Styela clava: one gene and its partners. The protein of the gene in region 1 binds, or shares a complex with, the protein of each later gene. Links are inferred from orthologs where the notes say so. Each region holds a gene or a part of one and is shown in the gene's direction. Other genes may lie near its edges. The genes, in order: putative ATP-dependent RNA helicase DDX46, splicing factor 3A subunit 2-like, splicing factor 3B subunit 4-like and splicing factor 3A subunit 3-like.

Region 1 (8,069 bases):
TCAGACACTCACAATTATCAGGAAAAACACTAGTCCGCTTGAACAGACATGTAGCCTAATTACTTATCGATCTTTAGATAGGTAAGTATGTTGATAGGTATTTGTTTGTCTGTCTGTTAGATGCTCGCGATATCTCACGAAGGCGAGATGAAATCTGCCCCAAATTTTGCATGTGCCCCAATTTTGCATTCATCATATATTGGACCAGAATCCTATTGATTTTGGATGAATTATGTCGTATAATTAGCGAGTTATTAATTAATTAGTGATGGGACATTCTTCAGATTATATAATTTATTTTTATGTGACCGGCGTCATACGATTTTAATCTGGCATTGATGTACATGTGACGATCGAACGTCGTGCGTAGAAATGCAGACACACATAAAATCTACCATATCTCCCATTTTTGAAAGCTTTCGTACCTGCGATGTGTGCAGCTACGAACTTTTTTTTAGACAGACCATACCGAACTACGATAGGAAATAACTTACATACCAGCATACAGATATACCGGTACCGTATGCAGTACCGGTACCATAGATTTCATGAAGGATCGCGGTAACTGTAGGTAGGCTATGGGTACCGTCTGACCGTAGGCTACTAAATTAATCCGTTCTGCCGTTACACTGTTACAGGAACTGATCTGCTGGGAATGGTTAATCGGTTAACCGATTTTAGATAGTTAACGGTTACGATTTATTTTAACTGACATCTCCGGTACAAATCATCTTTATACCGGTACCGTACTGGGTATCTTTGGTCTGTACTACTGACTGTGTCTGTAATGCAGTAGTGAGAATCCTAAAACTTGTAGATTTACGTAACCCAGTAGCGGTCTTACTACTTACTGAATACAGCGCGAAACACCGCAAAGAGCGCGAAACACCGCAAAAGAGCGCAAAATAGCGCGAAACAGAGGGAAACAGCGCAAAATAGTGGGGAAACAGCGCAAAACAGCGCGAAAGAGCGCAAAACAGAGGGAAACAGTGTGAAGCAGAAAAAAATTTTGCAATGAGTTCGGGGCACCTTGTTTTGAGTTCGATTACCACGGCAGCAAATTAAAAACACAAACCAACGTATGTAGCCAGTAATGCTGTAATGGCAGGACTGCCCCCGCTGGTGACACATTTTGGGTACCATAATTTAGAACAATTTCCATGTGGATATGGTTGGCTTTAGGGTTAGGGTTAGGTAAAAAGGGACCTCCAGAAGTATGTGCACCAAGATGGCGCACAACCTGAAAATAGTATGTGTGTGTGTGTGTGTAGCGCATTCAGGTTGTGCGACATATTGCTGCACATACTTCTGGAGCACCAAAAAGGTAGATAAAATTTCGCATGATGACCTATAATCCGGTACATAACCTTGTAAATATACCGGAAATAGCGCCATGAAACCATGGCGAGAGGCGCCGTGGTTCTTTCGTGGCAGGAGGTGGTAATGACTGCGTCTCCTGTTTTGCGCTGTTTCCTTCTGTTTTGCGCTGGTTTCCTTCTGTTTCGCGCTGTTTTCCTCTGTTTTGCGCTGTTATGCGCTATTTTGCGCTGTTTCGCGCTCTTTTGCGCTGTTTCGCGCTGTTTTGCGCTCTTTGCGGTGTTTCGCGCTGTATTCAGTAAGTAGTAAGACCCTCCAGTAGTCAGAGGTAAAATCAAGCAAATAGAAAGAATACCGGTTTATTATTATTGCTATTTGTTGACAATATTGTTGGTTATTTTTGTTGGAGTGTGGGAAAAACTTGTTGCCGTACGGTATTGCTGAATCGTAATGCATTGATTTAGATGGCGGAAAACTGACACTAGCGACAATCGAAAAGGATTATTTGCTGTCCAAGTTTAATTAAGATATTTATGCCCGTCCCGATTAAATTATAGAAAGCTGGAAAGTGAATACCATACTGGTACCGGTACCTTGCAGCATCGTCCAAAACAATGAAGAATGGCATAAAATAAATCAACACTTCAGAATATCCAATATCAAAGTTAAAGAGGGTTCACTTTATGCAGCTCTTTGCTGGCATGGGGTTACAATTTTAAAGACAATCACAAATTCTTCAATTGCACGCGTGCCACAAAAGTCATCTTATTTCAAAGGCTCAAGTATTCATGTTGGATTTCTTGATTTCAAACAAGTGATGTCCTACCTAGCACTGAACAATGTTTTACAATTAGGCAATGCATACATATTGCTCACTAATATTTCAAATTAATATAACTCATTTTTTTTTATTATTATGAGCTATATCCTTACTCCTGTACTCAGTAGATATTATTTGGTGGTATTTTTTTTTTCTTTTGACTGCCAATAATTTATATATTTTTAATCACATTTTCAACCACTTTACTTGGATTATGTGGCACTTAGGACACAAGCATATTTTAACTTTATTTTTGTCACTTATTTATTTTTGCTCATAGGTATTTCATTGTGTGAGTGTGTAATTGAACCTGCTTTTACTGTTTTGATAAATTATTTTACATCTTAATGTTGCTTACCAGTATTGGTAGTTGTATGAATATTGTTTTGGCAAATGGTTCCATTGTATATAGCTATTTTGTATTTTTTCCAGACACACTGCCCTAATCTATTTTGTTGTGTTCACTACTAGTCATGCTTTGTATTTGCAGCTATTTCAAGCCTGTCTGTAGGCAACTATAGCACTTTATATTTGTGCTTTTCGAACAACATCATTCCATGATGGCTAACATATTCTCTCGTTTTTCGTCACAACGATCACGATAGGAGAGAAATCGTCGGCGTTAGCGAGTTCGTTATCGGCGGCGCAGATGCCATTTCGGGCGATCGTAATCATACTTTGGAAAGACCTATGACGTGATGGACTGATGGTGACGTCGTAGTGACGTAATTTTCGGATGGCATAGTCAGGTTGGTGTTAGGAATAACATATGCGAAATTCGGGGTTTCGTGTAGTTTCTTACCTAACATACTTCTAGTGGGCGTAGCATGACAATTTTTTCACATAGCCATCCTAACCCCCACCTGACTACACCATCCAAAAATTACGGCATTATGAGACACCATAGTGAAGTAATAGAGCCCTTCAAACTATACGAACTGCCATCCAAGACGCGCAAACGAGCACCCGAAATCGAACAGTTATTTCTCTCGTTTTCTCGTCGCAACGATTCCGATAGGAGAGAGATCGATAACGTCAGCCAGTTCTTTATCGTAGGCGTCAATGCCATTTCGAGCGATCGCATGTATATTTGGCAAGCTCTATGACGTGATTGTGATGTCGTAGTGACGTAATTTTTGGATGGCGTAATCAGATGGGTTAGGATTGACATATCAAAAAATTGTTATGCTACGTCCACTAGAAGTACGTTAGGTACCAAACTACACGAGACCCAAAATTCGTTATGCTACGCCCACTGGAAGTACTTGTGGTACTAAACTATACTAGACCCAAATAATTGAGGTACCATTATTGCTGATTATGGAAATTTGACAATCATAAATTCAGAATCAGTTTTCGGTCGAAATATATTCTTCACGATTTTATTGCACAAGCGTCTATTGAATGTCATCCAACAAAAGCTCAGTTGATGCAGTTTTTCTTAAAGATATTTAAAGTAGAATTTGCACATTGAACACTGATAATTTGTCACATGAATGACATTTGATAACGAAATCAGGCTTTACTAAAATACCCGATATACCATATGTCTGAATCTCGCAGCAGAGCGATCATAAAAACTATCTCGGTTTATGAGTAATTTCGAGCGATACCGGGATAAGATCGCGAATTGCTTTGTAACCATCGTGACGTAACAAGCTAAAATTTCAACTTATTACGTCAAATGTCACGCTGCGGTTAATGGTTAAAATTTTTTTCCTGAAATTGCCGGGACTAGTTCACTAAACGCCGTCAAGTACCTCTAGTTAGGGTGGTATAACCCAAAGTGACTATAACGTTACCATACCAATGCATGTCCTCACTTGTGTTATAGTCATTTTGGTTATTGGTATAACCATTCTGCCATTCCCCAAAATCAAGAAAGCTATTTTCTCGTAACGATCCAGACATGAGTGAATGAGACTAGCGAGTTCGTTATCGTCGGCAGATATGCCATTTTGGGCGATCATAGCTTTTCTTTGGCAAGCTCTATGATGTGATTGTGACATCGTAGTGACATAACTTTTTGGATGACGTAGTCAAGGAGGGGTTAGGAATCATTTACAAAAATGTTTGTGCCACACTAGCTAGAAGTGCTTACGGCGTTTAGTGCACATGCACCAAATTCCCAGCCCTAGCGATTAACCATTTCCGAATTCTTGCATTCCCATACCAGCTTATTGCACAGTGCTCGTTTCTGTGATTAGGACAAAAGGGCGGATGTTGGAATTGTTTAAAATTTTGTCTGTATTTAAAAATAAACGTAGTTATAGCCTATTTACACTGAAATATCACAAAGAACTACCATAAAGGTTCATAGCAATTGTGTAACCATAAGCAAAATTCTTTAGACTACGGTATGTCAAGAAAAAGTTACCGTACACTTAATCTACAGCTACAGGTGTTTGAATTCAAAAATATATATTCTGATCATTTTCTCAAAACAGCTCTTTCAAGAACTCTTTTTGGTTAAAGCCCACATTACAGCAGTATTTTGAAACCTCTAATCCCAACCTCCAGACCTTACATTGTTGATAATTCGAATAAAACTGTAAGAACCAAATACACCTTGATGCCTTGCGTGAAATTTAAAAAACTGCTGCATCTCTCAGTGTTGGCGCATGATTACATATCATTAATGATTAATCATCGAACATCTGAATTATTGTATTATTTTCTTTTTCAGGTTAGAAGCTGTTTGGGGTGTCGTCAAAATTAAATAAACATATAACAATAGCTTACAGGTTATAAGTGCATCAAAACAGATACAATGTCGGATAATTCCGAATCTGTTTTGGACAATGTAACAGATGAACTGAAGATTAAAATTAAGGAAGAGAAAAGCAGCATCGAAAAAACAGCAAAAAAAGAACGCAAAGATGGTCGTAAGCGATCTAGATCACGATCTAATTCTCGGGATAGAAGTTCACGAAAAGGAGGAAAATATCGCAGGGAAAGTCCGAGTCATAGAAGACGACATGGACGCTCATATCGATCCCGTCGATCAAAATCGAGATCCAGGTCAAGGAGCAAAGGAAAAAAGTCATCTTCAAGAAGGTCAAGGGAAAGACGGGATAAAAAGTCTGACTCTAGTCGTAGGCGGAAGCAAAGTTCGAGTTCCAGTAGTAGCAGTAGTGATGGTGAATCGAATGCTGAAAAAGCTGATAAATCTGAGAAAAAGCCACCCGAGGCCAAAGCAGAAACTTCAACGGTAACAAAGTCGACTAATAAAGAAAGGAGATCGAAAGAGAGAGGTGAGAAATCGAGGGATCGTCGATCTCGAAGATCAAGGTCACGAGACAAAAGAAGACGATCATCTCGAGAAAGACGTAGATCACGTTCACGTAATAGAGATTCAAGGTCAAAGAAACCTTCACGACATTCCAGGCAAAGTTCTAAAGAGAAAGAGACTACTAAATCTTCATCAGACAAAAAAGAGGCGGAAAAAACAAAAGAACTCAACACTGGTGACTTTGAGCAAGCAAAATTGGAAGAGGAAATGAAGAAGCGCCGAGATAGAGTAGAAATGTGGCGCAAAGAACAAAAATCTGCACTTTTGAAAGCAGGTGATGGCGATAGTGAAAGTGCTAATGGCGATGATAGTGGACCTAGGAAGACCTGGACTTTAGAAGATGATGATGACGATGATTTAAATGAAGAAACTGCAGATAATGATTTAAATGAAGAAACTGCAGATAGAGAAGAAAAGGATGAAAAGATGGAAGAAGAAACCAATGAAATATCGAATGAAAAGGACATGTCTATAGAGGAGGCAGAGGATGAAGTTGACCCTCTTGATGCATTCATGATGAATCTTGAATCGCAGAGTGATAGTGTGTACAAGAAGAATGCCTCCATGACGGAGAATACAGATGGCCCTAAGATTAGCAGAGTGGTTGCCGTAGCAAAAAGCAAAAATGAAATTGAAATCAGACCTGAAAAACGGAAAGGAGAATTGATGGAGGCTGATGTTGATGCCATGGAATATTCTTCCGAGGAGGAAGAGGAGTCACTATCCAGTGCATTTAATAAATTTCAAAGCAAACAGCGGAATCGAAAACTGGATACCGTAATTGATCATACTAAAATAAAATATGAACCTTTTCGGAAAAGTTTCTATGTTGAAGTTCCTGAACTTGCTGCATTGACAGAAGAAGAAGTTGCTGAAAGAAGAATGGAACTTGAAAATGTTAAAGTCAGAGGAAAGAATTGTCCAAAACCCATTAAAAGTTGGGCTCAAGTTGGAGTTTCATTTAAAGTTCTGAATGCTCTTAAAAAGGCTAAGTTTGAGAAACCAACGGCCATTCAATCCCAAGCATTGCCAGCTATTATGAGTGGACATGACTTAATTGGGATTGCAAAAACTGGTAGTGGCAAAACATTGGCTTTTCTTCTACCGATGTTCCGGCATATCATGGATCAACGTCCTTTGCTAGATGGAGAAGGACCAATAGCTGTTATCATGACTCCTACAAGAGAACTCGCTTTGCAAATTACTAAAGAATGCAAAAAGTTCACCAAACCCCTTCATCTCAATGCTGTATGTGTGTATGGAGGTACTGGTATCTCTGAACAGATAGCAGAGCTCAAGCGAGGTGCTGAAATCATAATATGCACTCCCGGTCGAATGATTGATATGCTTGCTGCCAACAGTGGACGAGTAACCAACATGAGAAGATGTACTTATATGGTTCTTGATGAAGCTGATAGAATGTTTGACATGGGTTTTGAACCTCAAGTTATGTTTATTATTAATTCTGCAAGACCAGAGAGACAAACTGTCATGTTTTCAGCAACTTTCCCTCGACAGATGGAAGCTCTCGCTCGCAGAATATTGGCAAAACCTATCGAGGTACAAGTAGGAGGTAGGAGTGTTGTATGTTCAGATGTTGCACAAACTGTTGTTATTCTAAACAGAGAACAAAAATTTTTAAAGCTCCTTGAACTATTAGGTTCCTACCAAGAACAGGGATCGGTTTTGGTATTTGTTGATAAGCAAGAACATGCTGATTCATTATTAAAAGATCTTATGGATAGCTCATACCCTTGTATGGCATTACATGGTGGTATTGATCAATATGACAGGGACTCTGTTATCAGTGACTTCAAAAATGGTGTTTCAAGATTATTGATTGCAACCTCCGTAGCAGCAAGAGGTCTTGATGTAAAAAATCTCATCTTGGTTGTTAACTATGACTGCCCGAATCATTATGAAGATTATGTTCATAGATGTGGCAGGACAGGTCGTGCTGGAAACAAAGGGTTCGCTTTCACTTTCATAATAAAAGAACAGGCACGTCATGCTGGTGATATTATCAAAGCACTTGAGCTCAGTGGTGCTCCCGTACCTCCTCAATTAGAAACTTTGTGGTTAAATTATAAGACAGATCTTAAATCACAAGGTAAAGAAGTTTCAAAAAATAGTGGTTTTACCGGAAAAGGTTTTAAATTTGATGAAACTGAAGATGAGCTTGTCAGAGAACGGAAACAGTTCCAGAAAACCGCTCTTGGAATGCATGATTCTGATGATGAATCTCCAGTGAAAGATATTGACGAACAAATCGAAAACATGTTCAATAGTAAAAAGAGAGTCAAGGATGTTGTTGGTCCTGTTCTACTTCATGGGGCAGGAGGAGAATCCGCTCAACCTGGAGGACCTCTTTCTGGATCTAACATAGAGAAGTTGGAAATTGCGAGACGACTCGCATCAAGAATCAATCTAAAGAAAAACTTAGGTGCTGAGGCACAAGATGTTACACAACAGGCTGCTACAGCAATTATGAAAGGTGGTCGATTTCAAGCTCCCAAAGTGAGTGCGAAGACAATTGCAGAACAACTAGCTGAAAAATTGAATCAGAAACTAAATTATGTGCCACAAGAGAAACCGGAAGATGAAGAAGCTGATTCTGGATCAACTGTCAAGCGTTATGAA
Region 2 (7,698 bases), on another chromosome or scaffold:
TTGTCAGTAAACTCCGGGACAGCCGTAGCCCAGCCCGGGACACGAGACGCCACACGTCGATTCCGGGACTGTCCCGCCATTCCGGGATGGTTGGTAGACCTAGACTGAGGTTGCACATCCCTGAATTCAGGCTTTTGATGGTCTGGGCTCTTGATTTTGAAACTTTGTTTGTTTTAACTCAGGTAAACTTCAACATGAAGAAATTCTTTCTAAGATGGAAAATGGAATTCTTGTGATAAATACAAAAGGCCAATTGTATCAGGTAAATTAGATTGATCAATTTTATCTTTAATTGCTGTTTGCTTTATACCCATTAATAAAAAACATGTTTAAATACTGGGCATTTGACGTCATCTGCTGCGATATAAAGCAATTTAGGTTAAGATGACATGTTAACTTTATAGTTTATTCGCAGCTCCTCCTCCATTGCAGTTGAAATATTGGGGGCTCCCGAAGTATGCGAACCAAGATGGCGGACATCGGAATGTAATATGTGTACTAGGTCAGGGTTAGGCCATAATTTTAGGTATAAATACTACGGGAGGCTCTTGGCTAGTCTTCGAACTGATAATAGGACTAAAATAAGGAAAATTGAAAAAAAATTATCGTCTAACCCTAACCTGTTACCCATGTTTACGTTCCGATGTCCGCCATCTTGGTTCGCATACTTCGGGAGCACCAAATATTGTATGTCTGTTATTTTTTCTCCCAATTAATTTATTTTTTCTGTTTATTTGGTCAATATTTCATGCTTGACGAAAATTCTTTGCTCCGAATTGAAATTTGAATTTTCAGGTTCGTTTCAAGTTTGGATCTGATGCAGGAGATTTGTCGAATATAAACGGAGGAGAGTCAGGTATGGTAGCAATATTTTTATGGAGAAAGTATATTTATGGATTCATTTTGTTAAATTGTTGTTGAGGTTATTAGTGTTGTTGTTATTGAAAACAAATCGCTCTTCCTGACAAATAATTGTTGTTGTTGTGATTGCTAATATTTTTATTTTTTTGGTTCCTAAATTTCGCTGTTTCTAACGTGTTTCCCCGTCAATATGACAAATTATTTCAATTATCTTTGAATAATAACACTAGGGTTTATTTTGGGAGGATGTCTTTTTTTCATTTATCAAAAACAAAATTACAAAGTGAAGAAGTACGAAATTTTCAAATATACAAAATAAGAAAACCGATATCCTTAAACTTATGAATAACGGAACAAAAAAAAATTGCTCTATTGACTAGGTGGTATTTTAAGGGGAGGGCTTATGTTGAAATAAGCCCATATATTTGAGCATTGCTCTCTTTTTATTATTATTATTGTTATTATGAATCCTTTCACAGGAAAGGGCAAATCTCAAACAAATCCCGCTTTGTTTGGAAGATCATTATCTGTGACTGAAACGATTTCTGAATCTGAACCAGCGGCGAATTTGGCAACACCATTTGGTCCAGGTAAGTCAACAAATTTTGTTCTGCAATTTTTTATGTTAGCTATTTGGTTTATGCAAAGTGACGCTCCATTTTCAAGTATATTATTCATATGTTACGGTTCATTTTAATAATTTACGCCACCAAATGCAACAATGTAATAAAACTAAGATCAGGTAAGTGAACACGTACCACTTCTTCTTGGCAAAACCTTTCATCTTATATTCTGTACGTTTTAAACCTTATCTAAGGTTTTATTTGCGGATTTCATAATCCATTTTTAATCATTTGTTTCAATCATTTTATTGTTATGCTGATTATGGAGTCGAAATAAACTTATACTGCATCTGAATGAATACTATGCCATGGATAGGTGAATTTATTCTGATATCCGCTCGACACAACAAAAAGATAACACACAGGATAGAAATTCAGGAAATTCATAGCTGAAAAAAACTACGGCTTCTCAGAATTTACCACTTGTTATTATTTTCACAGCCTCAAATACCGGTATTCACAGCATTCAAATACCAGCAGGAGTGACCCAAGTGGTGCTGCAACTGGGTGGGGTTGGCCAATTACCGGCAGCCCTTCCAGCTGCGGCCCCAGTTCAGGAGACACGTCAAGGAAGCTTATTTTTAAACCCTGCTAATCCAATCCAGATTAACATGTACGGCGACGGTGAAAATAAAGTCAACATAGATAAGAGCTATATCCGCTCTGTTGAAACATAGATCGAAGTGTCGTATAGTTTTTTTTATCATTGGCCTGTAATCAAAAAAGTAATTTAATTGGAGCATTTTTAAAGTGATTATTTTTAATGAACTTGCGCGCTATGCGCTTTACCCCTGTGACTCCGTTTTTTTAATCTATGATTTAATTTTTGGTTAATTCGTGAAAAATATTCAATATTTATTACACGTTTTACATGCTTATCGTGAAATAAATCTCAAAATAAGGTAGAAACAATTTGAAACTTTATTTTCGGAAACAAGGTGGTTCAGGGTAGTGTATTTCAGAAATTTTTAGGATAGGATAGGATAGGATTTACATATTTATCCCGGGGGGAGAGGAAAGCCGATAAGACGGCTTATCCATATGGCGAACCACGGCCTCTCGTCCGGTTACCATTCCAAGTCGGGTATGGGATTAGTTTTACTGTATTGTTTGTTTTCGGAAGCATGGACTTGGTGGTGGAGGAAGCCGTAACCGACCAGCGGTTACGTGAACCACCCAACGACGGCGAGGAGTCCAGCAATCCTCTCGCACATAACCATCCCTGCAGGGGATTTGAACCTGCGAACCCACGCAGAGTAATTAGAGGTGCGGTGGCGAGCGTATTCCTAACGCTTAGCCCGTTGAGCCACACCGCCGCGCCGTGGGCCGTAGTTTTGTAACTTTTTTGTCCGACCAACGAAAGACAGTCAGAAAATCAGTTATCAGATACAGGCAAACCGCAATCAATCAATTTTATTTCGGTCACTCTGAAAGAAACAAAACAACAACAAACGGACAAACAAAATGCAGAGAACTTGGAGGACGGGTATAACTTAATAAAAAAGTTAAAAACGTACAAGTACGTGCCCGTCCACCAAAAACAGTCAAAAAAACCACAATAAAACAAAATCACGATGTAAAATCGGGCAATACCTTTTAAATCAATTTTAAAATGTGAGACACAACAATCAATCAATCAATCATCATTTATTCGTCAACACAATTTAAACATGGTATGATATATAAAAAAATAATTACAAATACAAGTGGAAACTAACTTAAATTGTGTGACAGGAGTCGCGAGGGACCTCAAGAGGTCTTCAGGCAGCGACACCTAAGTGCTAAGTACAACAGTGCTTTTCTCACAAAAATATGGAATAAAAAACACTCGTTGACGTAAAATGGTGATGCTGTAGTTCAATTTCATTGCAAAAAAAACACAGTGACAAAAAATTGTTACCAAAAAACAAGCTCGTTAAATAGATTGAATGTTCCACAACCGGCCATGCACAAATCATGGATTAGGGTATCGGGTTCCTCTGTCGCCTTCGACCAGTTCTATTTAAAATCATTTCATCCGATCCGACGCCTCCAACATCAATATCGAATGTCCACTCACCACTCAAACGTTAAAGTAGGTGCTTTGTAGGGTTATCAGCATTTGATGCTATTACATTTTCTTAGCACATATAATCAGTGGTGGAATCCAGAGGATTCGTGCGAAGCCGTGATACTCGTGATACTCAACGGCCATCTGTTGTTAGTGGTTTCCATATCAGAGAGAGCCCGTTTTTATATTTATGAATCGTTGCAAATAAACCAACTATCAGTAACAGCAAATTGGGGTTGAATGGTCTTTTATGACTCTACTTTCAAAGTAATTCCTGCTTCTGGGAGTAGAAAGGAAAATGATCATTGTAAATTTATACTGTTAGCTACGCGAGAAAGATATAGTCAGTAATCAGTATGTTAAGTTTATAGTAGATTCTTGCCAAAATAACCAAATTATGCTTGAACGTTAATAACTTGTAAATTATAAATAGATATTTAAATTTCCGTCTTGTTTCTAAAGAGGTTTTAGAGAGCGAGTCGCTTGATGAGCAGGTTCTTTTCTCCTTAGACTATTTTGATTGTCGTGTTTTGCGGACCACAAGGCGCACTTCAACTTAAATTCCTTTTCTCAACAAAAAAAAATTGATCGTGCGCCTTATAAGCCGGTACGTCTAATCGGAAATATATACTACTACAGTCTAATTTATGAATAAAATAATCTAATCACCTTTGATGTATTATTTCCAGTGTGGTTGAATCCTATGTTTGTAGAAAAGTGATTAGATTGGGGATTGTTGTCCTATCGGCTTTCGTCTTCTCCTGGACAAATATTAAATTAAATTTCACCCTTTATTGCAATCAATGGTATTTATCGTATAACAAAGTTATGTCGAATATGGGAATAGTAAATCAGGTATTCGTTCTAAATGCATGGACGCTGAAACACAAGAACACACAGATTGCAGCAAATGATTAAATTATCAAGAATTTTTAATTAGAAAAAAACTTTTTCCCAAGTCTTACAAATATTTGTGAAAAGTCATATGCCACAAAAATCTTTTCATCTATCTCCTAAATCTGGCAAGCGTCGTTTTCGATTCAATTTCATCATGTTTACGTTCCATGCCGCCATCGGGTCTATCGTCGGCGCTCTCGTTTGTGTTCTGCCTCACCGTACCGTGAATCTGTCTTTGGTGTTTCGTATTCAGAATACAGAAAATACACGGTGAAATAAAAGATAATGGACTTTCAACACAGAGCCGGTGGTAAGACAGGTGGAGGTGGTGTGGCCTCGTTCTCTGATGCAAATAGAGATCGCAGAGAAAGGTTGAGACAGTTGGCCTTGGAAACGATTGACTTGAATAAGGTAAATTTCTTATTGTTTCATTTCGTTTTTGAGTATTGAAACCCTGTCGAGTTTATGTGTCTATGATTATCTATATAGGTAATATATATCCCGTACTTTTGCATATTCTGACTTTTGAGATAAATAAACATAATGCCTAATAACTAAAACAATGAAGATAATTCAGTAATTTATTACTCCATTAATGCACTATTGTTTTACAAACAACATGGTCTTATCTTTCTATCAAGGCAGTAAGGAGTCAATTTTGAAAGTGCTGCTATACCAAAGGTATTTTGTTTTTCAGGATCCATATTTTATGAAAAATCATCTTGGCTCGTACGAATGTAAACTTTGTTTAACACTGCACAACAATGAGGTGAGTGATATATTACATATGATTGATTTTGTTATTCCAGTTTTGCACAATCACCAGATCTTTCGTACAAAGCGCTCGCCAATAATGCAAAAATATGACATTTTAGAAAACACCTCTGTCATATTTCAGTATTTCTAAATAACGAATAGTGATTATCCAATTGAGGGTTGAGGTTAGGAAAGATTATTTGAATTTCCAGTGCCATCTGCATTCCTAGCCCTCACTTGAACTGGATAATTAATCCTTTTTATTTTGAGCGTTGCTGGGGGCTTTGTACAAATGAGCTGAATTACGGTAACTATGTGTAACACCACGTTGTTGTTTTCTGATATCTCCCAGCCCTTCAGGTCTCAAGGCAATAAATGTTTTCTCGACTCTCGATTCAAGAATAATTCTCTCTACACTTTGATATTTCAAAATTTGGGATGCTTATTTATCAAGTGTTTTGGAGAGTCGACGTTTATAAACATTTTCAAACCCATCATTTTTATCATAATACAGCCTACAACAATACGCTTACAGATACTTGCAGCTAGTTTTAGCCTAGTCTATAGCAGCTTACCTTGGCACTGATATTTGATTATTGTGACTAAACTAAAGCTCAACGAAAAACATTGACAAATGAAATATACCGTATATGCTTGTTTTACCGCCCGATCTTGAATAAGGGCCCGTATGAATAGCTGCCCGTGTGAACAGAACATAAAAATAAATAAGGGCTGGTGCTTGAATACCCGCTCGATGTAAAAGCTGATTTTTCAGTGGTAGAGAACAATAGGAAATAGAAGCGCTTTTGTCACAACGCTGTTGAATTTTAAGTGCCTGTGTCGCAAAACTTCCTCTTTTGTGGATTTGTACCTGCGGTGCGTAGAAAAAGTCAAAATTCTCGTTATTCTCGTTCAAATCATACTTGAGAAATGGAAATAACAATATATTAATTATTGTAACGATCAAAAATAACAAGCGCCCGTGCTTGAATAGGGGCCGGTTTGAATAGGGGCCCGGTTAGTGAGTTGGTTGAAAAAAATGTGGGCCCGGGCTACAAAACGAGCAAATACTGTACTTTATTTATAACTAATTTTTGGAAACACAACTAAAACCTGACAAAAAACTTGAGTGCCGCGAAAGCGAGGCAATGTTTAAAACCATGCCTGAGTATCTGTTTGGGCAAACAAAGTGCCTGAGTGGCTGCAAAAACTACAATTGTTACGTCATCGTTGACGTTTTGCTAAATGATCATTGTTACGGAAATAAACAAGGAAATCATTGCTCAGCAAACTTTCATTTGTAATTACTGCTACATATTGTGTTGCCATAATTCTGCACATCTCATTACCTGCCTCAATTTTGAAAATTTCCTCTTTCCAGGGAAGTTATCTTGCACATACTCAAGGTAAAAAACATCAAGCAAATCTGGCAAAAAGAGCAGCAAGGGATGCAAAGGAAGCCCCAGCTCAACCTGCTCCAGCCAAACCCACCATTGAAGTCAAAAAGTTTGTTAAAATCGGACGGCCTGGGTATAAAGGTAATTAATTAATAAAGAAATCTGAATAGTTTAATGATCAAGAACGGGGGTAATCTGGAGGAAAGTTCCTCTCCTCAATTGACGTACAATTAAGACATTTTTGAATATACGATGGTTTCAGAATTGCATCGAATATTTTTTCCGAATCGAATAGAATGTTAAATACTTGTAATACTAATCTAACGTAGTTGTATTGACTGTTTTACACTGATGGGTCTTTCAGACACATATTTAGGGGAAATACGTGATCTATCACTCAGATTGTTCGCTGAGTGTTCACACACAGTAAGTAACATTCTTCATCAATAACTCAACTTCAACTACTTGATTATTATTTAATTAATGTTGCATTCTTTTTTTTTTCAGTGACAAAGCAAAGAGTGCCCGATACTGGACAACAAAGTTTATTATTCCAGGTCGATTATCCTGAGATCGTTGATATAATCATACCAAAACACAGGTATGAGCTTCTGTCTGCAAATTAATTTTAATTGTTGTACACAGTGGCGTAGCCAGGGGGGGTGGTTCTGCGGGTTGAACCCCCTCCCACCCCCTTTGAAATGTAAAAAAAAATATCATTTTTCTGTATCATAGATAGCAACTATTCGTATCATAAAATGCTTTTTAGACCCCAAGACTAATAAAAATACGCGTATTCCAGCGTTCGATCGGACCCGCTAGCTGTTTCGGTCTAACTTGGCAAATAAAAATTTCAGCCCCCTTTAACCCCCCTTTGAAAATTTCTGGTTACTCCCCTGGTTGTGCATGAAGTGGGACTATGTGTCGTTGTTACAAATTTTCGATAATCAGTAATTTAAAAATTGCCTTTTATCAATTTAAAGGATTACCGGTAATTGTTTTAAAATTCTCAGCACTCAAAGGTGGAATAAGTAACTAGGAGGGTATTATCATAATATGGGAAGTGATATTTTCCCTGAATTTTGCTGTTTCATTTAAATAAAGGGATATGCTT
Region 3 (7,385 bases), on another chromosome or scaffold:
TGGGTATTTTCAGGGCGCTCCCGTAGTAGCCTATGTGCTCCAGGATGGCGCACAACCTAATACCTCTATCTTTGTACATATACTATGTTCGGGTTGTGTGCCAACTTTGTGCACATACTACGGGAGCACCATTTTCTGCACAACCTATTCTGATGCTCATTCGCGACATGAAGAAACTATACGCCCGACATATAAAAGTAGCAAAATATACACAAAACCTTTTCATGTTTAATTTCAGAACTGACATTTAAAATTTTCAATTCTTAGATCTGTGGTTTTACCTAATTGCAAGATACGTAAATCATATCATGTCAAAATAGAACAAATAGTAAGGATTTTTATTGAATACTCAATATTTCTATAATAATTTTCAAACTGAAAGCTTCAATTAGTGTTCACTCATACACTTCCTTTGTGAAGTTGTGTTTTTAATGTTTTATCTCCCTAATAAATTTAAATTCAAATTTAATTCTCCAATTACTGATGGAGAAAGATCTATAATCGAGAGTTTAATACGGCTTCTGTGACATTAAAAACAATTACTGTTTTACGTTTTTATATATTTGCAACTTTTTGAATAACGCAAAAAAATTCGTTGGCTGACTACCGGCGTGTTGAATATTGAAGGATTTTTATTGTAACATTCGTTTAACGATGCTTTTAAGCCTAACTTTGGGCATATCAGCTACCTGATGTCATTCGCCGAGCGAATTTTGTTTAGGTGACATTGCCATCTCGTATTTACCATCCTGTAGCCATTCTTCTTATTTAGGAACTACGTGTTTTACAGTTAGCTGTTACAGCATGAAATAATGTACACATAATTCTACGTAAACTATCCATGAAATCCATTCCATAAACTATCCATGAAAAGATATTACAGTCAGATCTTCAGGTTGTAAAAAATATTATACAACAGCAACAGCAAGTGATCGAATATCTTTATTATAGCCGTGGTTGAACACCGCTGGTTGTCAATATAGATTTTGCACAGGCTTTTATACATTTTGTGAACGGTAAATTATGTTCTATTAGGGGATAATGTGACTTGGATACGTATTATAAAAGATTCTCTGCGACATAAGTCAATTGTTTCTGTTATGTAGTTTATATGAAGTCGTAGGCCAAATTACATTATTAAAATCGTCGTCCGATAACAATTAAAACTGGAATTTTGAACTAATATTGCCAGAAGACAAATTAGGTTGTTTATAACGATGCGATTGTTACTACCTGGGTAATATATTACGTCGAAATGTTTATAACAAATTAGAAGAAGTTTTGAATCAATTTCAAGGGTTCCGAACATTACTATAAAGATGTCGTCTGAATAACTAATATTCCCTACAGATCTGTCAAATTTCAACCCGTATTTAAATAATACATATGTCATACTTTTGAATTAATAAAAATAAACAACACAATGTCATTCAAACTTTACAATATTCAAATAGTTTTGCAAAAGCGTGATTGGTTTAATTAAATACCGATTTCCGGATGTAAATACTGATGATAAAAGTTTAATTCCATTTATGCTAAGGGGAGCTCTCATACAAACATTGACTTTTCCAAAATAATGCAATAGGGAAACAACATATGAAAAAAAAATAAAAATTATAGAGATATGGCAACTACCATTGACAAAACCAAAAAATCAGGCACTTTTTAAACTTGCCACATTCCTACCAGTGATAGATCTTCTAGTTTTGGACAATAAAAATACCAAATTCAGTCATACAAAATATGTATATTTGGATTTTCGGATTTAAAGTAATCAAAAACATCGGGAAATAGTTTTTTACAAAGTGCCTGAAATTTCACAAGTGCCTGATTTTAGTATTTTGTGCTTGCGGTTGTCAGATTTTATCATTCCTATTAAATTTCAAATAAATCCAAAAAGTACGATGGTTATCTATATGTTGTCAAATGATATTGCTCATTGCATTATTAAAAACGCTGAAATTGTTGTAGAACTAGGAATTTCCTTTAAAAAGCAATGATTAGTAAGTTCTGACTCAAATAATTTAGAAAAATTGTTGCGAAAATATATGGCAACTGTTATCGAAAAAAATAAAAAATCAGGCACTTGCGAAATTTGACCCCTCATCACCAGTCCCAATCGTTTTTGATTTTTACCAAAAAGACGTCATTTCAATCATACAAAAGAGTGTGTATTTTAGTTTTCTGCTTCAAAGTAAGTAAAAACATTGAGAAATAGATTTTTACAAAGTGCCTGAAATTTCACAAGTGCCTGGTTTTAGTATTTTGTGCTTGAGGTTGCCAAATTTTATCATTCATATTCAATTTCAAATAAATCCAGAAAGTACGATGGTTGACCATATGTTGTCAAATGGTATTGCTCATTGCAATATTAAAAACGCTCAAAATGTTGTGAAACAATGAATTTGCGTTAGAAAGCAAAGTATAGTAAGTGCTGATGCAAAGTATTTAGAAAAATTGTTGCGAAAATATATGGCAACTGTTATCGAAAACAATGAAAAATCAGGCACTTGCGAAATTTGACCCCTCATCACCAGTCCCAATCGTTTTTGTTTTTTACCAAAAAGACGTCATTTCAATCATACAAAAGAGTGTATATTTTAGTTTTCTGCTTCAAAGTAAGTAAAAACACCGAGAAATTGGTTTTTATCAAGTGCCTGAAATTTCACTAGTGCCTGGTTTTAGTATTTGTGCTTGTGGTTGCCAGATTTTATCATTCATAATCAATTTTAAATAAATCCAGAAAGTACGATGGTTGACCATATATTGTCAAATGGTATTGCTCATTGCATTATTAAAAACGCTCAAATTGTTGTGGAACAATGAATTTGCGTTAGAAAGCAAAGAATAGTAAGTGCTGACGCAAATAATTGCTAAAAACAATGGCAACTGTCACCAAGAAAAATGAAAAATCAGGCACTTGCGAAATATGACACGTCTCCATCAGTCACAAACGGTATTGTATTTTACCAAAATATTGTAAATTCAACCATACAAAGTGTATATATTTAATTTTCTGCTTTAGAGTAATCAGATACATTGTAAACTAGGTTTTGACCAAGTGCCTGAAATTTCACAAGTGCCTGATTTCTATATTTTGTAATCAATGTTGCCACATTTTACTATTGAAGAATTATTTATACCCTAATAAATTGGAAATAATATTGTTTTATTGCAATATAGGGATGCAAAAAATTATTTAAAGTCTAATTATCTTGTCAGGTAAATTGGAAACCCCAATGACGTACGGTAAAAATAAAAAATATCAAAGTGCCTGAAATGGTGCCTGAAAAAGTGCCTGAATTCGCAAGTGCCTGGTTTTAGCTACAGGAGTGGTGACTCCTCTACGGCCCATGGGCCGGGGCCACGGCCCATCTAATTGGGCCACATGGGCCGTGGCCCATCAAGCTATGGGCCGCGGCCCCATCAGGAAAATTTCAATTATCTTACCAAAATTTTCAATTTTTACAAAACTGTCAATATTCGAACAAAAAAATATACTCCTGTAGTATGTGTACCAGGTTAGGGTTAGGACAAAAAAAAATTCAGATTTTTTACATTATAGTTCTATTATGAGTTCGGGGACTGTCTGTGTTAGCCAAGTGAATAGTCCCTTTACACAACTTGATGGGCCGCGGCCCATAGCCTGATGGGCCGAGGCCCAATTCGATGGGCCGTGGCCCCGGCCCATGGGCCGCAGAGGAGTCACCACTTCCACTCGGTTTTAGGGAGACCCGATAATTTATAAACGTTTAAAAATTGTCAGGAGGTGAAAACACAAGGCGAATTTCCATCAGCTCTGTTAAGCCCAGTAAAGTTTAACATTTAGCCTACTTTGGTTAACCAAATAAACTACATCTGAAGGCGGCATAAATAACATGAGATATTATGATTCAAAACTAATGAAAAATTAAATAGAAAACCATCGTAACATTGATTATTCCATTGATAAACAAACAAAGATTTTGGGTCTGTAACTTTTCATGCGATTTGAAAACCTTCTAGATATGTCCTACACTTTCTGCAGTTTAATATTTCAATTAGCCAAGATACAATTTTGCCTTATTTTCAACTAATTTGTGGAATTACTGTACTGTAGTGGTGATACTGATATTCAGATATTGTAGTTATTAGCCCATCTGTCAAATAATATTATTATATACATGATTCCGTTGTTAACAAATTTAAAATATTTTTCACCAATGTTTATGCATCTAGAATTCTGAAATGATCACCATTCTTAGCACATTTCCATATGCAATTTTGTGTTTTTTAACTGTTGAGCAGTAGGCTATCACTCCCATCTAATATTTTCCAAATTCAAATATAACTTTATTCTAATTCAAAAACTGTTTTTAATTAGCAGGATTAGCCCCCAGTTATAACCACTACTTTCCCAGGTTTGTAATAAATTTAGTATGTGGAATCGGCGAGATTCTGGTTCTTTCAAAAGTAGCGTCTTGAGTATCATCTTTGAAGTGGAGTTTTAAAAAAAGTTTTATGTCATTGTATTCTGCATTGGTCCTATTTATGATTTTTTGTGTTAGGATTCAACTTACCTATGTTGCGAGTATTAAAAAGTATACGCCATAAGTGCTTAAATAACGCCAAACAAAAATGTGATGTGAAAGTACAGAAGTAAATGATGTAACTGCTAACATAACGCCAAACAAAATTTATTTTCATGAAACAACAGTCAGTCTCGAAGAATTCTATACACTATTTGCTGATTTTGCAAGGGACATACCTGCTTAGTTTAAGATTGTGTGTGTTTAATTTTAACTAAACACGTCTATGGGCAACTTCATTGCGCACATCACATTTCTGTTTGGGGTTATTTAATCAGCTTCACTTTTTTGTTTCGTGTGATTTAAGGAGTTACGGCGTTTACTTCGCTGGACCCTATTTTGCCATGTCATAATGTTTCAATTGCTTATGTAATAACAGATAGTTAATTATAATACTATAAATTTTTAAGAATATAGGCCAATGGCGGCAGGTCCTATTTCTGAACGCAATCAAGATGCGACTGTTTATGTCGGCGGACTGGATGATAAAGTAGCAGAGCCTTTGCTGTGGGAATTATTTTTACAAGCAGGTCCTGTCGTCAGCACACATATGCCAAAAGATCGCATTACAGGAGCACATCAGGGGTATGGGTTTGTTGAATTTCTTGGTGAAGATGATGCTGATTATTCAATTAAAATTTTGAACATGATAAAACTTTTTGGCAAACCTATTCGAGTTAACAAAGCTTCTTCTCATCAGAAGAATTTAGATGTTGGTGCAAATCTTTTCATTGGAAATTTAGATCCAGAAATTGATGAAAAATTATTATATGATACCTTTAGTGCCTTTGGTGTCATTCTACAGACCCCTAAAATTATGCGTGATCCAGATACAGGAAATTCGAAGGGATTTGCTTTTATTAACTTTGCCAGCTTTGAAGCATCTGATGCAGCTTTGGAAGCTATGAATGGACAATATTTATGTAATAGGGCTATCACAATTTCGTACGCATTTAAAAAGGATTCTAAAGGTGAGCGTCATGGCAGTGCAGCTGAAAGATTACTGGCAGTTCAGAATCCTCTTTCTCAGGCAGACAGACCACACACAATGTTTGCAGATGCTCCTGTTATCCCACAGCCTGGTAAAGTAAATTCAATTATGGGTAATGCACCAATGCCAATGGGAATGCCACCTCCACCACCAGGTCCACCAAGCATGATGCCTGGTATGCCTCCAATGCCACCTATGGGTATGGCTCCTATGCCTCCTCCTCCAATGCCACCAGGTGGCCTTTCGCAACCTATGGATGGTATGAATTCACAAATGAATATGCCAATGCCTCCATGGGGACCACCACCCCCTATGGGAATGGGCGGACCGCATGGCATGATGGGCGGCCCACCTCGCGGCCCCCCAATGGGTCCTCCTGCTCCATGGGGTGCTCAAGGTCATTTTCCTCCCATGCCACCTCCCGGTGGACATCTTCCCGGGCCACCTATGCGTGGCCCACCACCGCCTCCAAACATGGATGGAGCAAGATGGAACGAATAACTGGAATCATCACTACCAGAAAAAGGAAATCAATCAAGTTGATATCTTTTGAAGACATTGAAGGATGGGAGATGAACAGTACATTTACATTCCATATTAATTTATGGCTGTAATATAGGCAAACCACAGGGTGGATAAATATATTGTTGTATATTGATTGTCTCGATGACAAATATGTTCATCCCAGTTTGCAAACCTGAAGATGTTCCATCTAAACAAAATTTTGTTCTTGTATCACTATACATGAACACTTTTGCAAAGCCAAATCTCTTAATAAGAATAGTTATGTATTATCTGACTCTGATTGATATTCAAGCCAACTTATCGGTATGCGCCTTGCTTTTTACTTTATGAATATTGTCCCATGAAAATAAGTTTGAAATTGAACAGATTGAAGTGAAGTGAAAATATCTTATGACTTTTTAGTTTGTGGATGCCAAGTGTTTATATTGTTATTGTGTGCATATCACAAGTTATACCATAAACATGCACCTAATTGCTAAGACAGATTTGTAATATTATTTTGGTCTTCTTGGAGGTTGTTTATGCTGTCTTTCAAGAAATCTTTCTTCTCAACTGTTTGAATCATACTATTGAGCCATTTCTTATGTGGAAATAATCTTTTTTAGATTGTAATCATAGTGTTATTGCCTAATTTTTACTTAAAATGGCAACTCTAGTGATGGATCAGTTTTTGATGGATTTAAAACAGGATCGCTTCAAATCGTCTTATGAAACTGTATGTAAAACCATAAATTATCTACGCCATGTAATAAGTGCTGCAAGATTCAGCCATGCAAAAGATTTGATGAAAACTATTCAACAGGTGATTAATTTTTATCAGTATTAGGTTTGTAAGAAATTGTGTTTACAGTGAAAGATATTACACAATTTGATCTTGTATTTTTCAAATTTGTTTATTTTCTATTCAATGTTTTACCACTGATGGAAAACCCAACCAATTTTGAATTCTTATTGGAAATTTGGTACTTTCTATTTTGTGCATTCCTAGTAGCAACAATAACATTTCCCCATTACAATGATACTGTGGTAAACTGCAAAAATGCTATTGCGCAAATATAATAATTGAAAAGAGTGTGAAATGCAAGTTGTTATAACGATAAGAGGAAGATACACAAGTATTTCTAATGATTTTCATAGGAGGGGAAAAAAATTATTGCTCTGCAACCGTCTGCTTATGTTGTTGGTAATATGGTTAGAAGAGTCCTCAAAATAATTCGTGAAGAATATGCCAGATTACGAGGATTATCAGAAGAATCGGCGGGAAAGGAATCTCTTCATCGCATGCTAACGACGTCTGCCTC
Region 4 (7,030 bases), about 5.0 Mb from region 1:
AACCGTGATTTATATTATGAAAATGACTACTGTATAAATAATCATTGATTAATTGATCCATGATATAATGTAACTGGCTCGTACTGTTTATAAATATGTAAACATATTATGGATTCATTAATTTTATCTTACGTGTAAATAATTTATGTTAATACATTTCATATATATTTAGACTTGGGACAGTGAACTTGCATACTTGGCTCAGGAATATTGCAAACAATGTCACTTTGGTCACAATAAAAATAGGAAACATTCGCGAGGATGGAGGTACGACATGGCTATTTTTTTTACCAAAGTTACGTTATATATATATATTTTATTTCCACTAATAATGGAATGCATACATTTAGCGTCGGTGAAAACATACATGCTTCAAGTGGAACAATAAAAAACGTAGAAAATTCAGTGCAATCATGGTTTAGTGAAATTAGCTATTTTGATTACAACTCAAAAACTTGTCAATCAGGAAAAATGTGCGGACATTACACTCAGGTATCGTATGAAAACATTGTAACGTGATTAAAAACTCTCGAATTAAAATACTGCAAATAGAAAAGAATAACTACTCGTTGTCGTCCTCTCGCCAGGCATATTTGGTGCGATAATAATGTTGCTATATTCATCTTTAAAATGGAAGATATGCAAATGCATTACGTATTACGGATAACGGAATCCTAAAATTCGCTTTGACTCATATAGATGAAGTCACCATTTGAGACGAATCAGACATGACTAAATTGGGTACACATCCACTTTGGAAATAGAACAGGCTACGCAACACGTGAAAATGATTGCTCCACCATTATTTTTCGGAGATTAGCGTTAGCCAACTAATACGTTCACATCATTATAACTTTTGAATTACGTACTTGAAAATGGACTGTCATACAAAAATACGTGGTTCTTATTCCAGCACTTAATTATTGTATATCCTATTTCAATAGGTTGTCTGGGCCAAGACGTTCAAAGTCGGATGTGCAATGGTTTCATGCAAAACTTTATCTGGAGTAGACTGGGGATCTGGCACTATGTTTTTGTGCAATTATGCGACCGCGTAAGTTTTGTTACCAAATAGTTAAATGGTTAAATGACAGATTCATTTGCTTCAGCTGTGAAGTTATACATTCCAGTAATTTGCACAGTAAGCCAGTCGCTCGCTTAATGGGTATATTGTAACATGAGCATCTTTATCTTATGTGTAAATTAAATGTTCATATTTTTGTTAAAGATGGACAAGTTTCACTATTCTCAATGCTAGATATCCACAAGAATATAATTTTTTGTGAGAAGTGTAAAACATTTTCAATGCAAAACATCTAATAAAACAATATGTTGCCTTCTGAGATCAGCTGTGTACTGATTGCTATTCTGTAACAACTTAAAAAGTTCTGCATCGAGTTTTTCCTGACTTTTAGGGAAAAAAATCATTTTTGTTATAAACCTCAAAATCGATCAATATATTCCAAAATTAATATCGATCATTTTTCAAAGGTATGGCCCAACTAACCACTCTTGCTTTTGACCATAAACTAACTAACTCCTACGTTTCATACAGGGGAAATGTATATATGTCTGGTAAAATGATGTCCGTGTTTGAAAAAGGAACTGCATGCTCCAAGTGTGGAGAAAAGGACTACTGCAGAAATCAACTGTGTGGTACGTGAATATGTTTTGTTCTTGGTTGAAATTTCATGTTTAAGCTTTAAATGTCATACGTGGCATGATTGCGGTGCGATTTCATTTATTCCCATATTAAACAACTTCTACTAATTTATATTTTTCAGCCAACAGCGAAAGAGACTTCATTACCAATTCAGCTGATGAAAGTGTACCAAGTAATGGTGATATTTTGTATAGGCTAATATTGTCCAAATCCAAACTCAACAGAATAAAGCAACCGAGGTTAAAGTAACCAATTAAAAACCATTGGTATAGTATGCCTACATTCAAAACAAAAATATATTTTTCTATTACAGCTTCTTCTAATAGCGCTGGATCCACTGCGGCTATCGTGATTCTTGTATTGCTATTGTTAGCTCTACTTGGATTTGTTATCTTTCGTGAGAAAAACAATATTTCAGACAAGTTTAATACCTGGAAAAGGTAAAAATGTCATAAATAATACTGAAACCTATATGAATATTTTTTAAGCCTTTATCGTTCGAAGCAATTAAAAACATTGGACTTCACTAATATTTTTTACAGAATTACATATTTATTTAGAGGCAACAAAAGCAACGTACCGCATCGTCCCAACGCTGGATCAGGTGAAGCAAGAGCAAACGATGCTTATGTTCAAGATAAAACACGGCCACCTGTTCCTCCTCCAACGTACCGTTAGATACACATAATTACCTTAAACTATCAGAATAGTTTTCAAAATATATAATATTTGAGCTCTAAAATATTTTCATTATATATATAATAACTCAGTATTTTATTTAAATTCGATGCCTTCAATCTGGACTTCAATTTATTTTACTAAAATCGTAATTTTGAGATCATAGTTAAACGAAACAAATTTTATTTATTTATCTGTTTAATATGTACTAATCTCTAATTATCAATAATTATGTTGTGGAACAAGCTTATACTATTTCTATTAAAGGCCGACTCAATTATTTATTCTCATAATCAACTACTGTTTATTTTACCGGAATTTATTATAACAAATAGAATTAATATTTATAAAAATTCAACCAAAATCGATTTTATTATTATGATATTTTGTAAACTTTTTTTTTACATATTATCAACTGAAAGATGGTATTATTCAGTGGTTGGATTCAGGATGTTCGCACGGGTTCGCGCGAATCGAACCTGGTCATGTTTTCCAGGGCTATAAGTTTGTCACGATTTTCAAAATGATAGAATCTGTTATTAACGCATCCAATACAAGAGAGAACCCATTTTTAACATTTTGAATCCAATCAGTATCATCAACCATGCATAAACATCACTAAATTAGGACTAGACTGCTTAGATTATTATTCTGTTATGGGCTAAATGAAATTCTAACATTCTAATCCAAAACCTGGCTGGAAAGTCTAGCTGTAACACAGGATGGGAGATGAAGTAAGCTGGTGTAAATTGGAACAGTTATACAACACCGGTTAGATTGGCCGGAACATCGGGAAAATATACAATACATTTACTAATGGGTTGCTGAAGAAATGTATGTTTTCTTTACGAATTGATTTGATTGGTCGAAATGGCTGGTATTGACCATCTTACTAGATTTATGAAACAACCGAGTCGAAAACTATTAAAATCATTTCACTATTATATCGTACAAAATAGTGAGATCTTTCTTTTCTTTTTATACGGATATATTAAATAAAATATAACTACTAAATCGTCAATTTATTGTATATTACCAATGATTAAATAAATGCAGTGTCATTCTCAGTTCTGTATTCTTCTAAATAATATTGCATTGCATTTAGAGTTCCACAAAGATTGATATATATAGCCCAGGGGTTTCCAAACTTTATTGACCGCGAGCCAAAATTTGAATCGGAAGGATGTACGCGGGCCGGAAGTATGTAGTGTCCCGGAAGTATGCGAGGGTTTAGCTGGGGTTCAGTGGATTCACGTTTGACATTTTTCGAAACATGTTTGTTTGACTCATAATGGCGCTTCATGTGGTATTGTTTCAGAATTGGAATAGTTCGTTGGCAAAGTGGACAAATCTCTGAAGCGTGATTCTTTTCAATAAAGAAACACGAACGATGCTATTCATCCGAGGAAAGTCTGTTTTCAGAGTCTAGTTTATTATTTGGCATCTCTAACCTTTCTTCTATGACTGATAACTAAATTACTACCCTATGTAATCCTAATACCGGTACGTATAACTGAGATATCGGCATAATCGAATTGTTACCATGAACACGAGCTTAAAATGGGATAACGACATAACAATTGGCGGTTTCTAGGTTGTAAAAAGGTTAAAACAAAATCTATGTCAATATTTCACTTAAGCTCGGCGGGCCGCGGTTTGGGAACCCCTGATATAGCCCAATAGAATTCAGTGGTTTTAGATATATATCTGGCATGGAAACAAGTACATATGTAAAACTGTGAATAAAATAGAGGCAATTGAAGTCTTTATAATGCCCACTTTTCGTTACGAGATAAGGTTTAAAATTACCTATACCTGGATCACCAATCATCTGTACAATACTGCCGAAAGTGGCAGTATAACTGTATGATTCGACATTCACATTATTATGCAATTTTCAAGCAAACATTTAATTTTAAATTTTATTGTTAAGTAGAAACTTATTTAAAATATTAACGAATGAATGTAAATTCGTTCAACGGTTATTGTTTGATAATTCACGCCATAATATAAATGGAAACAAATATAACACGAAAAATCTGGCATCACTAACAAACTACTCATATTGAAAAGCACTACGACCCTTCAGTTCACTCTGCGAAGCTAGCAGCAGATTTTCGAATTCGACTGGCTTGCTGTGTTTGTGTAACGTTATACCTATCGGGACGTTCGCTGTTGCTGATTTATATGGTCCTGGTTTTTCGTTATCTGCGATGGAGACCACGTTAGAACAACAGCGTAGGCTGCATGAAGAAAAAGAGCGTTTATATGATGCTATGACAAAGGAAAGCATGCATAAGAAATCAGCGGTTCGTGAACAAATCAACTCAGACCACAGAATGAGGCATCTGCTAGATCGTGTTATGGACAATTCAGTTAGATTACAGGAGCTGTACGAAGACAAGGACGGTTTAAGAAAAGCTGAAATACAAGCAATTGCGGGTCCAAATGAATTTGGTGAGTTTTATAAACGGTTACGGGAAATCAAAGATTTTCACAAAAAACATCCAAATGAAGTGTTTGTTCCCATGTCTATGGAATTTGAAGAGTTGAATCAAGCGAGAGAAAATGCAAGCGATGAAGCAACAATACTTGTTGAATTTACTGATGAAGAGTCCTATGGTCGCTTTTTAGATTTACATGAATCACACTTGCGTTATATTAACATAAAAGGCATTGAAAAACTAACTTATGTTAGATATTTAGATGCATTTGATCGCTTGTTTGAAATTCCACGAGATAGGAAAAATACTCAATATCATGACTACATTGATGGTTTATTGCAGTATCTTGTATCGTTTGTTGAACGCATTAAACCTTTACTCGACTTGAATGTCGAGCATGATGAGGTTTTGAAAAAGTTTGAATTGCAATGGGAAACAAATGAATTTCCTGGCTGGGGTAAAGAGGCTGGAAGTGCGATGGCTCATTCTGGAGCTCATCTTGATCTAAGTGCTTTCACATCAGCAGAAGAACTTGCATCATTAGGTCTTGATAGGTTGAAGTCTGCGCTGATGGCATTGAGTCTGAAGTGTGGTGGAACTTTAGAGCAAAGAGCTGAAAGATTGTTCAGCACGAAAGGAAAAACGATGGATGAAATTGAAACATCATTGTATTCTAAAAGTAAAATTAAAGCTGGAAAGAAGGATTTAACATCTCAACGCAATAAAGAAACTGCCATGGTAGAGGCACAAATATATCACCTAGTTGAGCTTGTTAGTGAACAAAGGGCTGCCACAAGGGATAATGTACAACGTCGACAAGCACGTACTGATACAGAGCGTGATGAAGATGAGGATGATGTTATGTCTGATAGTGATTCAGGAGATGATGAGGATGAAGTGATTTATAATCCCAAGAATCTTCCTCTTGGCTGGGATGGCAAACCGATCCCTTACTGGCTTTATAAACTCCATGGTCTTAATATCAACTACAGCTGTGAGATTTGCGGAAATCAAACTTACAGAGGACCAAAGGCATTTCAACGACATTTTGCTGAATGGCGTCATGCACATGGGATGCGTTGCCTTGGTATTCCTAACACTGCCCATTTTGCCAATGTTACAAAAATTGAAGATGCGATGGCGTTGTGGTCAAAAATTAAAGAAATGAAAAATGCAGAGAGATGGAATCCAGACCAAGAAGAGGAATATGAAGACTCTGCTGGAAATGTTGTCTCAAAAAAGACATACGAGGACCTGAAAAGACAAGGCTTATTATGAGCATTTGTGTTGTTTATCAACTTTAGGAAATGCGAAAGAGCTCGTGGACTTAAACTCAATCAACCTGTGTTCTTACAGGAGTAGCATTAAGAAATAAACTTGAACATTCTTGAATCATCAGAAATATTTTTTATATATTTGCATTCGATAGAACTCTCTGGATTGGTATAAATACACTGGTATTGTCAGGTACTTTGACTGAATTGATATCACTTTACATGCCAATATTCTTGATGAATTCCACTTATCATTGCGAACTCAACAATGTACACATGGAGAGATTTAAAAAATATTTTTCGCTCACCATGAAATGAAAGGCTGTTACCATGTTCTTTCTGAATATCAGCAAATTGATATTGGGTAATTTAATGAGCATTGAATTGGTGATAGCCAAAATATAATATTGTTAAGAAAGGATGGGATTAGTTGTAATTTATCGCCGTTGAGATATGACATTGGTTTTAGTTGACACGTTCATTGATGCTAGCTTGTTGTCATTCATGTTTGTAAGTATCTTCCTCATTGGCCCATTGTCAGTTCTAATGTTAAGGGCTTTTTAGCCCTAATTTCAAAAGATGCCTGATGAAGTTATTAGCAAATGAAGCTTTTATTGTTGCTATGTCAGAAATTTGTAAATTCTATCATAGAAGAAATAGACCCAACAAAACTGTACAATCAGTTCTGCACAAAAAAAAACGCAGTTAGTATGGATAAGGGGAAAATCATTTTCTTACTACTTCTAATTTCATGTTCTGGGGTACTGATTGATAATGGTGGTGAGAAAAATATTCCATTTATCTGCTCCATAACACACTACTGTGTTCATACCATACTTTTAGGTAATTTCTGATAAATGTTCTGTTTCAAAACTGTCAAATGAAATACCACTTGCATTCATTCCTTTTTTCAATTGCCAGTACCAACTGAGTTTGGTTTATAATCAATATGCTTCATAGTTGGTAGTTTG

The links.
Region 2: putative ATP-dependent RNA helicase DDX46 (region 1) and splicing factor 3A subunit 2-like share a complex: the UniProt entries of both Homo sapiens proteins name them as parts of the 17S U2 SnRNP complex. The link is inferred for Styela clava from reciprocal best matches to the Homo sapiens genes DDX46 and SF3A2.
Region 3: putative ATP-dependent RNA helicase DDX46 (region 1) and splicing factor 3B subunit 4-like share a complex: the UniProt entries of both Homo sapiens proteins name them as parts of the 17S U2 SnRNP complex. The link is inferred for Styela clava from reciprocal best matches to the Homo sapiens genes DDX46 and SF3B4.
Region 4: putative ATP-dependent RNA helicase DDX46 (region 1) and splicing factor 3A subunit 3-like share a complex: the UniProt entries of both Homo sapiens proteins name them as parts of the 17S U2 SnRNP complex. The link is inferred for Styela clava from reciprocal best matches to the Homo sapiens genes DDX46 and SF3A3.

What each region holds. Positions count from the first base shown.
Region 1 is NC_135256.1:21,745,305-21,753,373, reverse strand, and holds the start of putative ATP-dependent RNA helicase DDX46, read left to right. Parts: upstream 1-4,803; 5' UTR 4,804-4,907; coding exon 4,908-8,069. UniProt on the Homo sapiens protein: Component of the 17S U2 SnRNP complex of the spliceosome, a large ribonucleoprotein complex that removes introns from transcribed pre-mRNAs.
Region 2 is NC_135250.1:29,566,705-29,574,402, reverse strand, and holds the start of splicing factor 3A subunit 2-like, read left to right. Parts: upstream 1-4,611; 5' UTR 4,612-4,716; coding exon 4,717-4,842; intron 4,843-5,128; coding exon 5,129-5,200; intron 5,201-6,568; coding exon 6,569-6,725; intron 6,726-7,091; coding exon 7,092-7,185; intron 7,186-7,698. Other genes in the region: uncharacterized protein LOC120334753, read left to right, coding at 183-262, 796-856, 1,341-1,451, 1,926-2,161. UniProt on the Homo sapiens protein: Component of the 17S U2 SnRNP complex of the spliceosome, a large ribonucleoprotein complex that removes introns from transcribed pre-mRNAs.
Region 3 is NC_135255.1:4,023,664-4,031,048, forward strand, and holds splicing factor 3B subunit 4-like, read left to right. Parts: upstream 1-4,945; 5' UTR 4,946-4,989; coding exon 4,990-6,060; 3' UTR 6,061-6,690; downstream 6,691-7,385. Other genes in the region: translation initiation factor eIF2B subunit beta-like, read left to right, coding at 6,728-6,886, 7,222-7,385. UniProt on the Homo sapiens protein: Component of the 17S U2 SnRNP complex of the spliceosome, a large ribonucleoprotein complex that removes introns from transcribed pre-mRNAs.
Region 4 is NC_135256.1:16,760,341-16,767,370, reverse strand, and holds splicing factor 3A subunit 3-like, read left to right. Parts: upstream 1-4,403; 5' UTR 4,404-4,554; coding exon 4,555-6,063; 3' UTR 6,064-6,255; downstream 6,256-7,030. Other genes in the region: GLIPR1-like protein 1, read left to right, coding at 173-267, 351-492, 945-1,054, 1,556-1,656, 1,785-1,835, 1,977-2,103, 2,224-2,341. UniProt on the Homo sapiens protein: Component of the 17S U2 SnRNP complex of the spliceosome, a large ribonucleoprotein complex that removes introns from transcribed pre-mRNAs.